Cricetulus griseus: one gene and its partner. The protein of the gene in region 1 interacts with the protein of each later gene in a pairwise test. Links are inferred from orthologs where the notes say so. Each region holds a gene or a part of one and is shown on either strand. Other genes may lie near its edges.

Region 1 (7,118 bases):
TTGCCCGAAGGTGCACACAGATACCATAGCATGGTGGGGAAGAGGGCGTTGGCTTCTCAACTTCTTCTCATTCCTAGCTCTGGGACCTGAGACAAGTTATGTACCTTCTTTTCTTCAATCCTCAGCTCCCAAGCAAGGACCATACTGTTTATTGTGTGTATCCATACAAAACACCAACCAGAACCCCTTGCACTTAAGTGCCTGATATACATTAATTATTATAATTATTTACTATCCTGATTCACAATCCAAACTACAATCAGCCCATTAGCTTCTCTCTCTCAGGCTCCCAATATGGCCTCCAGGATGACCCATAGCTCTTCTGCCTACTGCAGAATAGGAATGCAGAGAGAGTAGGGGCAGTATATGCTACCTCCCGGATAGGTCAGACACCTGCTCAGTTGAGCATATAAACATCCACTTCCTGCCTGATCATTCTTCTCCCCCAGCACTTGAGGAACTGTTTCTCACACCTACATACAATCAGGCAACATCTGTACTGCCTTCCATTTCCTTCTATGTGGTGTTTCAGAACCCCAGCAGTGGGCTTCTTCAAGGATGCCAGGGCCACTTTAGGCTCACTTTACCTAAGTAGGTGTTGTCCTTCTCATACAGGCCTATGATCTCCTGCCAATCCTGAGAAGAACAGAGGGGAAAACAGTCAGGGGAGCACTCAGCAGCTCCTCACAGACAATCCCTGCAGAGGAGCTGCCCCAGGCTTCCTAGCATACCAGACACAAACTCCTCGCCTTCCTCCAGCTTTAACGCTGGTTGGAGCACCCACATGATTCAGAGACCATGATATCTAACAGTGGTTCCCAAAGGTCTGGACATGCAAGCCCAGGGGACAGGTCTACTTTGGTATAAACTATAGGGACAAAGAAAGATCAGGAAATATACTATACAGGCATTTGCCTTGTTCATCTGTGAGACTAGATAGGCTGTGGATTGGATGTCCCCAAGGGCACACTTACCTTCATCCGCTGTGAAGAGTACCGGCCGAAAATATTTTTGGTGGAGGCCTCAGTACCTTTAAGAAGGTCCACTATTCTTAGGCAGTGGAAGTAATGAATGTCTAGAAAGCAAGAATGGGGACTTTCAGAATTCTGCCATCCTTCCTTTGGCTATTGCAGGTGGCTGACCCACGTATACTGCTGCCAGTTATTTTAGCATGGAAGAAACCAGCATCTACAAACCAGAAAACAAAACAAAACAATCTCTCTGGCTGGGGTCAGCCCTGGTGGCTCAATAAGGGAATGGCCTGGTAGACACACAGGGCTCCAGGAGGGAGGGGGACTCCAGTGACAAGGCTCCTAATCACTCACAAGACCCAGATAGCAGCTGGGCAATCTCTTGGCTCTCTGGCATGTCCTGGATGGCAGTGTTGATTTTCTCCCGGATGGTCAGCACCAGACTTTGCCATTTTAGGTTGCAGTGTCGTCTGTCCACTAGCCAATCTGCGTGAGAATCAGTTTAGTTGCCACAGCCTGCCACACCTCCAACCCCCCATCAGGAATTCACTAGTTCAAGTGTCACATACTGGATATTGAACAGCAGCTGTTTTTGTATTGGCTAAGGTATCAGAGGGAGAACTGGCAAGATGAAAAGGCAGACAGACTCTGAGAGGTGCTTGGGCTAAACAAGCTCCGGCGCCCTGACTTTATCCCCAGTATAAGTTTTACAGAGCAACTGCCTCAACACAGGGATCAAGAAAAACTTTAAATTGGTCCTGACATGAAAGTGCCACTTTTGACCATTCTAAATTCTCCATAATATTTTGCTTCTGTGGGTAATTATATCTTTCTTGTTGACAGAGGGTGCTGCTCAACTTCCATTTCCTCAGGGCTGGGATTAACCAGGACAATGAAAAACACACGGTGGTTATGCCAAGTACCGGATGAATGAACAACTGCAAAGCCCCTAAGACCTACAGTGCCCCAAGAACTGGATAATGTTAGCTGATGGTTCGTTCGTTCTTTCTTTCTTTCTTTCTTTCTTTCTTTCTTTCTTTCTTTCTTTCTTTCTTTCTTTCTTAGACAAGGTCTCTCTATAGAGCCCTAGCTGTCCTGGAACTCACTATGTAGACCACAATGCCCTTGAACTCACAGAGCCTGCCTCTGCCTCTCCAGTGCTGTGATTAAAGGCGTGTTCCACCACCACCCAGCCTAGTTGCTGGTCTGTTCTTAACAGTGAAGTGCCATGCTGCCATATGACTACCAGTATAACTGACCTGGTTTTGAGGCCTAAGAGTCATGATCATCTCCTAAGGAGAGAACTAAGGTTTTACAGTTAAATGGTCCTGGGGTTGAATTATCAAGTTTATTTAAGATATTTTATTAAAAACTTATAATATTTGGAGCCGGGTGTTGGTGGCGCATGCCTTTAATCCCAGCACTCAGGAGGCAGAGGTAGGTGGATCTCTGTGAATTCGAGGCCAGCCTGGTCTACAAGAGCTAGTTCCAGGATAGGCTCCAAAGCCACAGAGAAACCCTGTCTCGAAAGACAAAAAACAAACAAACAAAATCTTATATTTGTTAATTTATATACACTGTGCATGTTATGTGTGTGTTGGAGCACACATGTGCCACAGCTCACAAGTGGAGGTCAGAGGACAACTTCTGGGAGCCAGTTCTCTCCTTCCACCATGCGGGTCCTGACTGTCAACTCAGATCATCAGGTTTGGCAGTAAAGAACATTTACTACCGAGTCATCTTGCTGGCTCTAAATATCAAGTTCCTCAATCAAGTTTCATCCTCTCTGTGCCTCAGCTTCCCCACACGTAAGATGATGTGCTCAATACTGTGCCTTGTGCATAGCAGTGACTCAGTACATCTTAGTGGTTTCGTTTTAATAAAGACAAGTATACAATGGACTTGGTATGGAGCAAACATTCAGTAAACAGCTTTCTTTCTTTCTTTCTTTCTTTCTTTCTTTCTTTCTTTCTTTTTTTTTTGTTGTTTGTTTGTTTTTCGAGACAGGGTTTCTCTGTGTAGCTTTGGAGCCTATCCTGGCACTCGCTCTGGAGACCAGGCTGGCCTCGAACTCACAGAGATCCGCCTGCCTCTGCCTCCCAAGTGGTCAGTAAACAGTTTTCTACTGGTTCTTTCTCATGAATGGAGATTGAGCTCCAACACCAGGGTGGGTGCATAGTGTGTTCACACACTATGACTATACAGTGGCCCTGGCCTATAACCCCAGCACTTAGCTAAGGCAGAAGCTTCACCAGGACTGAATGTTCCCCTCTCATAGTGGTAAATTTAAAAAGGTGGCCTTGTTGACAAATCTGTCAACTGAGATATTTGTATCTCAAGCTTCAGTAGTATCAGAAATTCTGTTTCTGCTGTGTTCCTTTAAAATTGTCGGAAAGAAAAACGGTAGAGGTCAGAATCACAAGGGGCTGAAGTCGTCAAATACCCTCTTAGGGAAATGATTAACACTGGACTGAGGAATCAGGGAACATTTAAGGTGCCAGGAGCTGTGCACATGTACAGCAGTGACAGAATGAGGGAAATAAACAAGCGACAGAGAGGGCCTGTCTTTAGGATCTCTCCATGCAGTCCTAGCTGTCTTAGATTTGCTATGGAGACCAGGCTGGCCTCTGCCTCCCAAGTGCTGGGACTAAAGGCCGGGTACTGATATTGCTAAGTGTTCCTGGCCAGGCTGGTACTTGCTATGTAAACCAGTCTGTCTGAGAAGTGCCAGCAATCCTCCTGCCTCAGCCTCCTAAGTGTCATGGTTACCAGCATGAGCCACCATCCCTGGTACAAAAGATCTTAGGTTCCTCTTACCCATAAATTCAAAGGGGAATTGAAACTTTAAAAGTAAGTGGGAGGGGTCTTCCCACCCCAAAATAACGCAAAAAGTACGAAGCCAGAACCAAAGAGACCTAGGTCCAAATGGATAGGCCATTTGGTAACTGCCCATCTTTAACGCTAGCCACTTGTCCTGTGTGCCCGAATAGGATTTGATACTACGTTACAAATGTTAAAAGTAGAAAACAAGGAGCCAGTAAAGGCTTTCCATATGCTTCCTTCAAACAAGTCGGGCCACAGTAAGGCACCTCAACCCAGACTTTGACAGCTCCTGGCTGCTGGTGACAGTGGGCAAGTAGCAGGCCTCCCCGACAGCCAACCGCGCGGGGGCGCCTCTCCTACCGAGCAGCTTGCTGGTCTGGATGTCGATGGGCACGTGCTGATGGTCCTGGTGGGAAACACGACAGGTAGGGGGGCGTGAACGCGGGAAGGCACCGTGCCTCGCGCGCGCTCATTGCACACACCCAACCGCCAACCTGCAGGACCAGAGCGCCCGGCTGAGGCCAGGAGGGGCTGAGGAAGCAGGACAGGGGTCCCAGAGCACACCCCAGTTTCTCCAGCCCTGCTCCCCACACCTGCATCCTTTCTCCACTTCCGCTTCCGGCCAAGACCCCGGCCCGGCCCGGCACCAATCCTGAGCCGGCGTGCGGGAGCCCCGCTTCAGAAACAAACCGGCCTCCTTCAGCCACGTCGTCGTCTTCCGCGGAGCCAATCCGAGCCCACGCTCCGCCCCCTGCTGGAATCCCCGCCCACCAAGAGGTTCTGAATGGCTGAGTACCGGATGGGCGGACAGCCAATGGGAGGCGAGAGGCGGGCTCGGGCGCCGTGAGCTTCTGGAAGGGCTGCAGCGCTGGCGCGAAGGCGGTAGGGGGCACCCAAGAGCCGGTGTAGGCGGCTTGTGCCCTGCCGGGCGCAGAGCCCCCTGCTGGAGAACGAACACGTCCGCGGACAGGGTCCTAGCGCCGTCCGGAGGGCTTTTTGAAAGCAGTTGAAATTATTTTCTTCCGGTTCCCGTTACCACCTATAGAAGATCGTAGGCGCTTGTCACGCTTTGTCCTCCCATTTCGTTTATCTGATAGACATGGGTTTTAAGCCCCTGATTCTTGTTGGGAGATTAGGGAAGGGAGAGGACGAGACACTCGCATTGAGAATTAGAGGAAAAGCAGCAGAGGAAGGACGATGTGTGGAAACGGTGTTCCCGGTGGAAGAGACTATCCAAACTTTACAGACCACACACTGCAAGGGGAGTTCAGGGGAAAGACAGGCAGGGGACACTGGCAGCTCATGTGTGGTCGGTCCAACACGAAGTGGAATGTGAGATTCCTTGTTTAAAAAAAAAAAATTATGACCCTTTTCAAGAGGACACTGTGCAGGTGTCCTACCTATGGCTGATCTTAGGCCCACAGTAAATGGTTTAAAGCAGGGAATGACCTGAGAGGAGGTTGTAAAATGTAAGGGTCATATCAAATAAGGAACTTGGACTTCACCCCTGCAGATAAAGAGGAAACACTGAAAGGTTTGGGACAAGGAAGGATGTGCACATATTCATTATAAGGATGGGTTAATGGGAGATAAGACTGGAGACAGAAACTAGAAGAGGCTGAAATGCAGGAGTTTGGGCCTGACCCAGGGCACAGGCTGTGGGGAGGAGACGAGCAGAATTTGAAAGATGTTTAGGAAGAAAATGGACAGGACTTGGCAATAGATTGGCTGAGTGGGTGAGGAGAAAGACACCAAAAGTGACACTCAAACCGTGGTGGTGACCTACACTTTTAATCCCAGCATTTGGGAGGCAGAGACAGGTGGACCTCTGTGAGTTTGAGGCCAGCCTGGTCTACAGAGCTAGTTCCAGGGTTACACAGAGAAACCCTGTCTCAAGCAAAACAAGATGACACTCAGTGTTGGGTGGGAGTGTCACCACTTGAGGCAGAATGCAGGAGGCAGAGCATGTGTTGGAGAGGAGGGGCTTTGAACTTGTGGAGTTAGCATTGTTGGGAAACCATCAAGTGGGAAGTATGCAGAAGGCACCTGGGTCACTGGGTGGTGGTGGTGGTGGTGGTGGTGGTGGTGGTGGCACACACCTTTAATCCCAGCACTCCGGAGGCAGAGGCAGGCAGATCTCTGTGAGTTCGAGACCAGCCTGGTCTACAAGAGCTAGTTCCAGGACAGCCTCCAAAGCCACAGAGAAACCCGGTCTTGTGGAGAGAGGGAGAGAGAGAAAGAGAGAGAGAGAGAGAGAGAGAGAGAGAGAGAGAGAGAGAGAGAGAGAAGACACCTAGGGAGTCTGTATTTAGACTGGAAAGGACAGCTTTTGGAAAGTCATAAACTGAGTTGTTGTCATGGTTCAGTGACAGATTCAGTCAAGGGAGTGATTCAGATTTGGATTAGAAGTGGTAGAGTAAAGAGAGAGGGTGAGATGAAGGTCCCAAGGACCTAACAGATCTGGGGATGGCATTTTCCTGAATGCCATCTTCCTTCTTCACTGTCCCCAAAACAGCACAATACCCAGGACTTAGTAGTTTCTGGACTGAACTACTGGGTGTGATACAGTAGTGGGTAGACCTAGATTCTGGCCCTGTGAGATTTTGGATAGTTTCCACACTTCTCCGATAGCCACAGTTCTTTCAATGTAGAGATAACAGCCTATCTCAGGGTATTTGTTTAGAGGCTTAAATAAATAAACATACTAAAGGTGCAGGACTCAGGATGAGCGGCAGAGCTTAGTTGGTGGAGTGTTTGCCTAAGACACATGAGCTCCTGGATTCTATCCCCAGCACCACGTAGGACCAGAAATGGTGGCACATATCTGTAATCCCAGCACTTGGGAGGCAGAGGCAGGAGGTTCAGACATTCAAGGTCATCCTGGACTACATAGTGATTTTGAGGACATCCAGTCTCAAAACAGAGAGAGAAAAGAAAAGAAAGGAAACATTAGGAGGCTGGAGAGATGGTTCAGCAGGTAAGAGCACTAGCTGCTCTTCTAGAGGACCTGAGTTCAATATCTAGCACCCACACAGCCACCCACAACCATCTGTAACTCCAGTTCCAGGGGAATCTGACACCCTCTTCTGGCCTCCTCCATGAGCATCAGACACATACATGGAACACAGACATACACACAGGCAAAACATTCATACACCTAAAAAACACACACAAAATACTTTTTTAATGTTCAGAACTTTTTACAGTTGACAACACATTATAGATATTCAATCTCATATTTTGTGAATTATACATAAATAAAATATTCTATATAGTCATTATTATTACAGAATAAATCAACAGGCCTCCCTGGAAACAGTCTGC
Region 2 (7,118 bases), on another chromosome or scaffold:
GAGGCCCAAAGACCAGGCGGCTTTAGAAACAGGTGCAGTCATAGCTGGTTCGTTCACATTCTGCAACACGGAGGTACAGTCTGTCATTGAAAGTGTTCTTTCTCTTCTCCCAGATTCTCAAACTAGAGCTTAAGAAATACACAGCGTATGGTAGAAAGGGTTAGGAGGGAAGAGTGGAGGTTGTCTCCCTTGACATTTTCAAATGTTGCTAAGAGAAGTGTGAAATAGTGAGGGCAGCAAGAGATTTGGACACTACAGTACCTTTTTTTTCTGCCTGTGAACAATGGGGGAGGGAGGAAAAAAAAAACCCTGCTGCCAGTTTTTTCTGTCTCTGGCTGTAACTGCTTCAAAGAGAAAAGAACAGGGAAAAAAAAAAGAGAGAAGAGTCAGTGAGAGAAAGACACAGCAAACCCTGTGTGCCACAAATGATTTCTAACCACCCTGACCTAGGCAGCTTGGACTTAATCAGAGTGGGTGTGGACGAAGGAAGAGGGGGGTTACCTAACAAAGTTGCCTGGATTCGGAATAATTTATTGGCTAGGGCTCAGAAGAAACTAACTGCTAGAAGGGAGCCACTCCAGTTTGCCTTGGGCACTGCCACATGTGACTACACATCCTGCCCAATAGCCAACTGAGTCGTGAGCAATGCTACATACTGTAAGTGATCCTGTGTGCTGCCTAGGAGCTTAGGTCATTAGTTCCTGAGGAACAGTGTTGGCCTGTGCAAAGCTCAACCAGAAGAGAACTGGTGGGCAATTGCACAGGTCTTCATACTCACCAGTAGCTGATCACGATGCACAGTAACCAAAGGTACAAGACCAATGTGGAAACATAAAACACTCCTCGACTGTTACTTCACTCATGACTAGTAGTCACCCACCAGCCTTTATACTAATAACAAGCAGGGCAAAGAGCAAAGGCCCAAGAAGACAGCTAGAATCAGTTGGAATGTCCTGTTGGGCTGACGGCTGGGTTGGGATACAGTTCCATCTTGCAGTGGTGAAAGTCACACTTCATCACAGTACATAGACATCAGGGACACAGTATGAAACCTGGCTAGTTCTTGGTAAGGATGTGTCAAGCTTTCTTGTGGTAGAGAACCACTTTTCAAAACTGGAAGAAGACATGGTCACAGACAGGAACCAAGCCATGCAAAGGAAGGCAGTACACACTACAGCACTGTGAGCTTGGCATAGAAGCAGTTCGGAGGCCATGCACTTGGAACACCATTAACACTATGCAGAATGTCATGATGGCCTAGAGAAAGAAGAGCACAGACTTGGAAGCCACAGTCTTGAAACTACTGGAGACTTAGAAGAACCAAAGGACACAATCCAACAGGAAGAGAAAGCAGACAGAAGGCTGCATGCTGCTAGCCAAGCCGAGGAGATGGTAGGACTCTCCTGCAGGAGCTTCTTGAAAGGGCAGAGTTTAGCCAGACTGGAACCTGAAGGACCTGGGACTCTCCACTGGCTGTCTTGGTGGGACTCGAACTCCTCTGCGTGGCCCATCGCCCATCAGATAGTATTGCAGGGGATTGGACCATAGCTCCCCTTTGATAATTTCAGCTATTCTGTCGAATTCTAGGAGGCTGTGGTCTGAGAACCAATTGAAGAAACTGGGAATCGTGTTCCCCTCACGATTCCTGTGGATATGGGCCTGGGGTTCTTGGCCCCGGTGCCAGCGGATTGGAGTAGAGAGCGACACCACTCGACCGGAGGATCTGCGCTCATATTCCTTGACCAGCCCCTCGTTTCGGAAGTAGGGGTTGCTTTGAAAGATGAACTTAAACTTGCAGCCTGCTCTTGGGTGCTTAAGCTCCTCCACCTCTAAATTGATCATGTATCTCATCATGTCTTCATCTTGGCCACTGATCATTGGTGACAGCTGGGGGTGGTTCCGAAAAGCGGTGACCCAGAAACCTGGGATATTTTGGATGATGAAACTTCGGCGCTGCATGTGCAGCCTTCTCATCCGCCCGAATTTGCGTTCCAGCTGGAGGAAGGCCCTGTCGGCCTGCGCATTTACATTTGACAGCTCTTGATCGATGGCCTCCAGCGAGTCCATGCAATTATTGATCTTCGGGGGCCTAGGACGATTCTCCTCCTTCCCTCCTCCAGCTACCTTTTTTTCTTTCGGTACCCCCTTCTTTTCCGGCATCGCCGCCCCTGCTTCTCCCTCCTTTCCCGCGGGCGCAGAGATGGCGCACTTCGTCGCCATCATTTCCTTGGTCTTCTTCACCCCCGGCATCATCTGAGACCCCAGGCCCACGGCACCACAGGCTTCCAGAGCTTTCGGCCCAGCAGGGCTGCGCGGCCCTCCAAGCTGACAGCCATTTTTATTGCTGTCATCAACTGCCGCAGGGGCTGAGGCTCCATCCCCGCCCTTTGATGGAGACAGAGCATCCTCCAGCCCCTCTCCGGCCGCCTCAGCACCATGATTCTCAGACACTGCAGGGCAAAGCGCAGGTCCGCAGTGCTCGGAATCCGGGGGCGCGCCTCCCTCCGCACCGGCCTCACCTGCAGCCTCCATCGCCCGCGCTGCTGCGTCAGTTTCCTCGCAGAGCCCCTGATCCTGATTCAGATCCAGATCTTCCCGGGCAGGGGCAGGGGTCGTGGTGTTAGTGAGAGGGAGCTCATTGCCCTCATCCAGGCCGCTCATTTTGGAAGATGTCAGCCCTGCAGAGGAGCCTTCCTTGTCCTCTGCAGACGCAGCGCAGCACCGCAGTGAGTGTTTAGCTCCACCCCTTTTCCTTCAGGGCTGCTGCTACCATGGCAACCTGTGACGTCAGAGTAGCAGCTGCGGCTAACTGTAGCGCGAGAATTCGCTACCCAGGTAATTATGCTTGTCAATCAAGTGTATTCTTTTTGTCTTTTTATAAGATGCTGTAAATTTAATCTTCTCTGGGACATTGCGTTCATTTACATAAATGGATGCAGAATTATATTAATGTGTATTCGTAAATCTCTGAATTAATTTCGACAGTACCTAAACGCAATAAATTAAAAAATAGGAGCTATTGTCTAATAAAATCAGATCTCATCGAGCTCCTCAGAAATAGAAAAGCGAATTCACCATCTCATAGGCCTTCCTTATTTGGGACACAGAGTCATGGCGGTTACTGAGGAATTGCGCAGAATCTGATTTTGAAAAGGAAGTGTCGTTACTGTTTCCATTTTCATGCAAACAAGACAGTCAAAAGATACATTTCAATTTCTGTAACCATTTTGATGTTTGTATACATTGACCAACGTTTATGAAGCAATTGGATATTTATTCACTTTTAAACGAATAGTTTAAACTGCTCCTTATTTACAGGTGGCCACACGAATGCCATATGCACAAATTTAGCCCTTAGGTATTTCTGGAGGAAATACAATCTCAGAGGACTTTAATTTCTAAAACGATGCATATTAATGCTCCTTTGTCTTGGGTTATAATCTTAGTTTCTGCTTCATGGATATGAAGCCAACAAACATTTGCCCAAATTTGCTTTTGTAATAGTAGAAACAATTATCACTTTTTTTGACAGCTGAATTATTGTCTCTTTAAAGTAGCTACTTAAAAAAAAAAAGAAAGGTCATGCATTTAAGTCAACTTAGAGAATTTATTTGTAATCACACTGTCTCTTAGTTTGTTAAAATTCTGCATATTTAATGTTTCAATTCCTATTAGAACAAGCTCTTTACATTGGGGGATTAATTGACTCTCCCCCAGAGTATGGTTATGCTCAAATACAACTCTGGAAATAAGAGTTTAAAGAAAAATAGCATTCCCCCAAGAACTCTAGTGAGGAAAGTGGTGGTACTTGGTTCAACTAAGACTGGAAAGTGATGACAAAGTCTCTGGTGAACAATGAACGGAATATCATTCAGTTTGATTTTTTTCTTTTTAATCCAAAGTTAACTGTCCCTACTCAAAGACAGGATATTCAGATTGACCTCTTCCTGCTAGAAAATAAATCAATTGTCCAAATAAAATAAAAATGCGCAAACAAGATTAGTTTCACATACAGTGTGTTTCACCATCGATGGTGTTAGTGTAGATGAATCAGGAAATTATTCTAAATGTGCCATATATTCAAACAGTGTCATTTCTGGCTTCATGTGCAAAGTGCTGTGCATGCCTGAAAACGTCTTGTCAATGGGAAGGCTTAACACTGGGTGATAATTTTATAGAAGGAATGGTCTCAGTGACAAGCATCCCTGAAGTTCCTATAAATGCCCACACACACTTACTGTAATAACCATAATTAGTCCCACAACTAAGAAGTGGTAAACACACATTCTGGTTTTGTTTTTTGTTTGTTTGTTTTAACACTTGTACATAAGCTATTTCCATTCCTGGTCCCTAGCTGGGAGGAATCAGCCTTTAAGATAATATTAAAAATCTGGCTCTAACTTTGGAAATCAGTATGGCAATTCCTCAGGAAAATGGGAATCAGTCTACTACAAGATCCAGCAATTCCACTCTTAGGCATATACACAAAAGATGCACATTCATACAACAAGGACATCTGTTCAACTATGTTCATAGCAGCATTGTTTGTAATAGCCAGAACCTGGAAGCAACCTAGATGCCCCTCAACTGAAGAATGGATACAGAAAATGTGGTACATTTACACAATGGAGTACTACTCAGCAGAAAAAAAAAAACAATGGCATCTTGAAAATTGCAGGCAAATGGATGGAACTAGAAGAAACCATCCTGAGCGAGGTAACCCAGTCACAAAAAGACAAACATGCTATGCACTCTCTGACATATGGATTTTACACATAGAGCAAAGGATTTCCAGCCTATAATCAAAACCACCAGAGAAGCTAGGCAACAAGGAAGACTCTACGAGAGACATACATGTCCTTTCCCGGGGAAGGGGAAAGGGACAAGATCTCCTGAGCAAATTGGGAGCATGGAGGAGGGGAGTGGGAACTAGGAGAATGAGAAAGGGAGAAGAAGAGGGGTGAGGAGGACATAAGGGACCAGGAAGGTTGTATAGGGGGAAGAATAGAGAAGAGCAAAATAAGAGATACCATAAGAGAGGGAGCCATTATATGTTTAAAGAGAAATCAGGCACTAGGGAAATGTCCAGAGATCTACAGGGATGACACCAACTAACAATCTAAGCACCAATGGAGAGACTACCTTAAATGCCCTCTCCTGATAATGAGATTGATAACTAACTTATATGCCATCCAGGAGCTTTATCTAGCAGCTGATGGAAGTAGAGGCAGGCACCCACAGCTTAACACTGAACTGAACTGGAATCCAGTTGCAGAGGAGGATTGATGAGCAAAGGAGTCAAAACCAGGCTGGTGAAACCCACAGAAATAGGTGACCTGAACAAGGGGGAACTCTTGGCCCCCAGACTGATAGCTGGGGAAACAGCATGGAACTGATCCAGACCCCATGAATGTGAGTGTCAGTGAGCAGGCCTTGGAAATCTATGGGGCCCCTTGTAGTAAATCAGTACTTATCCCTAGTATAGGAATGGACTTTGGGAGCCCATTCCACATAGAGGGATACTCCCTCATCCTAGACACACAGGGGAGCCCTGTCCCAAAGGATATGATAGACTCTGAAGATCCCACATGGAAGGCCTCACCCTCCCTGGGGAGCAGAAATGGTATGGGATAGGTAGGGTGTTAGTGGGGGGAAGGGGAGGAGGGGAGGGGATTGACATGTAAAACAATCTTGTTTCTAACTTAAATCAAAAATTTGAGAAAAAATCTAGCTCTAGTTTGTCAGCATTTGACGTAGAATTTTCTCTATTCTGAAGAAAATATTTATGGCAATTTTAGATCATAAGTTCATTGACATAACTGTGGCATGTCTTTTCAGCATAAATTCAGTATTTAAATTCTACTATAAAGGCTAAACTATATAGTCCTTATTCTACTTAACCTATAACTATTAAAATTTTTTCTTAGACTTTTGTATTTATGATAGTTCCCTGTGATATTTTCCATTAAAAATAATAAAACAAAACTCATGTGCCCTTGCTTTCTCCAATGCATAGAAAGAAAGAAAGAAAGAAAGAAAGAAAGAAAGAAAGAAAGAAAGAAAGAATGAAAGAGAAAAAGACCTGACTGGATGACCTCCCTCTCACACCTGGATTGGTTATGCAAATACACTCTGTTATTTTGATTTTTTTAATTGTTATTTCGGTGGTAGTGGTCGCACTGGGATTTGAACTCAGGACCACAAGTAAGTGAGACAAGCTCTCTACCACTGCGCCAGGACCCCAGTCCAAAACATAAACTGTGGAGTCAAGTCCTAGTTGTGCTGGTTAACAAATTGGTTGGAGTGGGTAAGTTGTTTCACTTGACAAAGCCACAGTACCCTTGTATAAAATGAACAAAATAACATTTACATACAGAACTATCATAAAGAAGGAAAAAGGTACCTGAACTGAGATATGCAAAAGACAACTGGGCCATTTTCGTTATTTTTATACTAAGAATACCTATAGTAAATAGACTATATTGCAGGCAGTACAAATATCAAATTCTATTATACAACAACTACAGGCTATAGCAGTGTATAGAATGAAGAAAATAAGTGAAAACTTGGGAAAGAAAAGAGTTGAGTTTCACCAAGAATGCAAGTTAAATGATCAAAGATTAGAAACCAAAGTACTTAGCCACAATACTCCTTTCTCATTGATTGTTTACCAATGATTCCAGACACGTGTGATTTCTGGCTAATTAGGAAGAAACGGCTTCATTGTTGGAACTAAAATGTTTGTTTGTTTTTTTTGTTGTTTTTTTTTTAACATCGTTCCATGCACTAGCACACAGTGGTACCAACAGTGACATGGGCTTGGGAGAGTTGGCCCAACAGCATGGGTGCAGGAGAGCCAACCCTGCCCCTCGCATGGGTGACACAGGAGAGCTGGCTTCAACTGCTTGGATGTGGGTGAGCTGCCCCCACCTCTTTAACTGACCTACTTGGAAGAGCAGGGCCTGTCCCTCACCTGGGCAGCAAAGCAGGCCTTAGGACCCAGGACAGCTGGCCCCATCTCTTGTTGATGCTACTGGCTGAAAAGATGGTTTTGCCCCTCCTCTGGGCAGTGTGGGAGAACTGGCCTTGGTGGAGACACTGGAGAGCCAGCCCCTATG

The links. The genes of interacting proteins can lie anywhere in the genome.
Region 2: the proteins of Cdk5rap3 (region 1) and Tspyl4 interact in binary tests that used the Homo sapiens proteins (3 or more experiments, as listed by UniProt). The two-hybrid records come from large-scale screens. The link is inferred for Cricetulus griseus from reciprocal best matches to the Homo sapiens genes CDK5RAP3 and TSPYL4.

The regions. Positions count from the first base shown.
Region 1 is NC_048600.1:110,063,761-110,070,878, forward strand, and holds the start of Cdk5rap3 (CDK5 regulatory subunit-associated protein 3), read right to left. Parts: upstream 4,541-7,118; 5' UTR 4,394-4,540; coding exon 4,388-4,393; intron 4,366-4,387; exon of another isoform or gene 4,289-4,365; intron 4,201-4,288; coding exon 4,155-4,200; intron 1,458-4,154; coding exon 1,326-1,457; intron 1,076-1,325; coding exon 975-1,075; intron 637-974; coding exon 588-636; intron 1-587. UniProt on the Homo sapiens protein: Substrate adapter of E3 ligase complexes mediating ufmylation, the covalent attachment of the ubiquitin-like modifier UFM1 to substrate proteins, and which is involved in various processes, such as ribosome recycling and reticulophagy (also called ER-phagy).
Region 2 is NC_048595.1:257,688,652-257,695,769, reverse strand, and holds the start of Tspyl4 (testis-specific Y-encoded-like protein 4), read right to left. Parts: upstream 4,476-7,118; 5' UTR 2,662-4,475; coding exon 1,432-2,661; 3' UTR 1-1,431.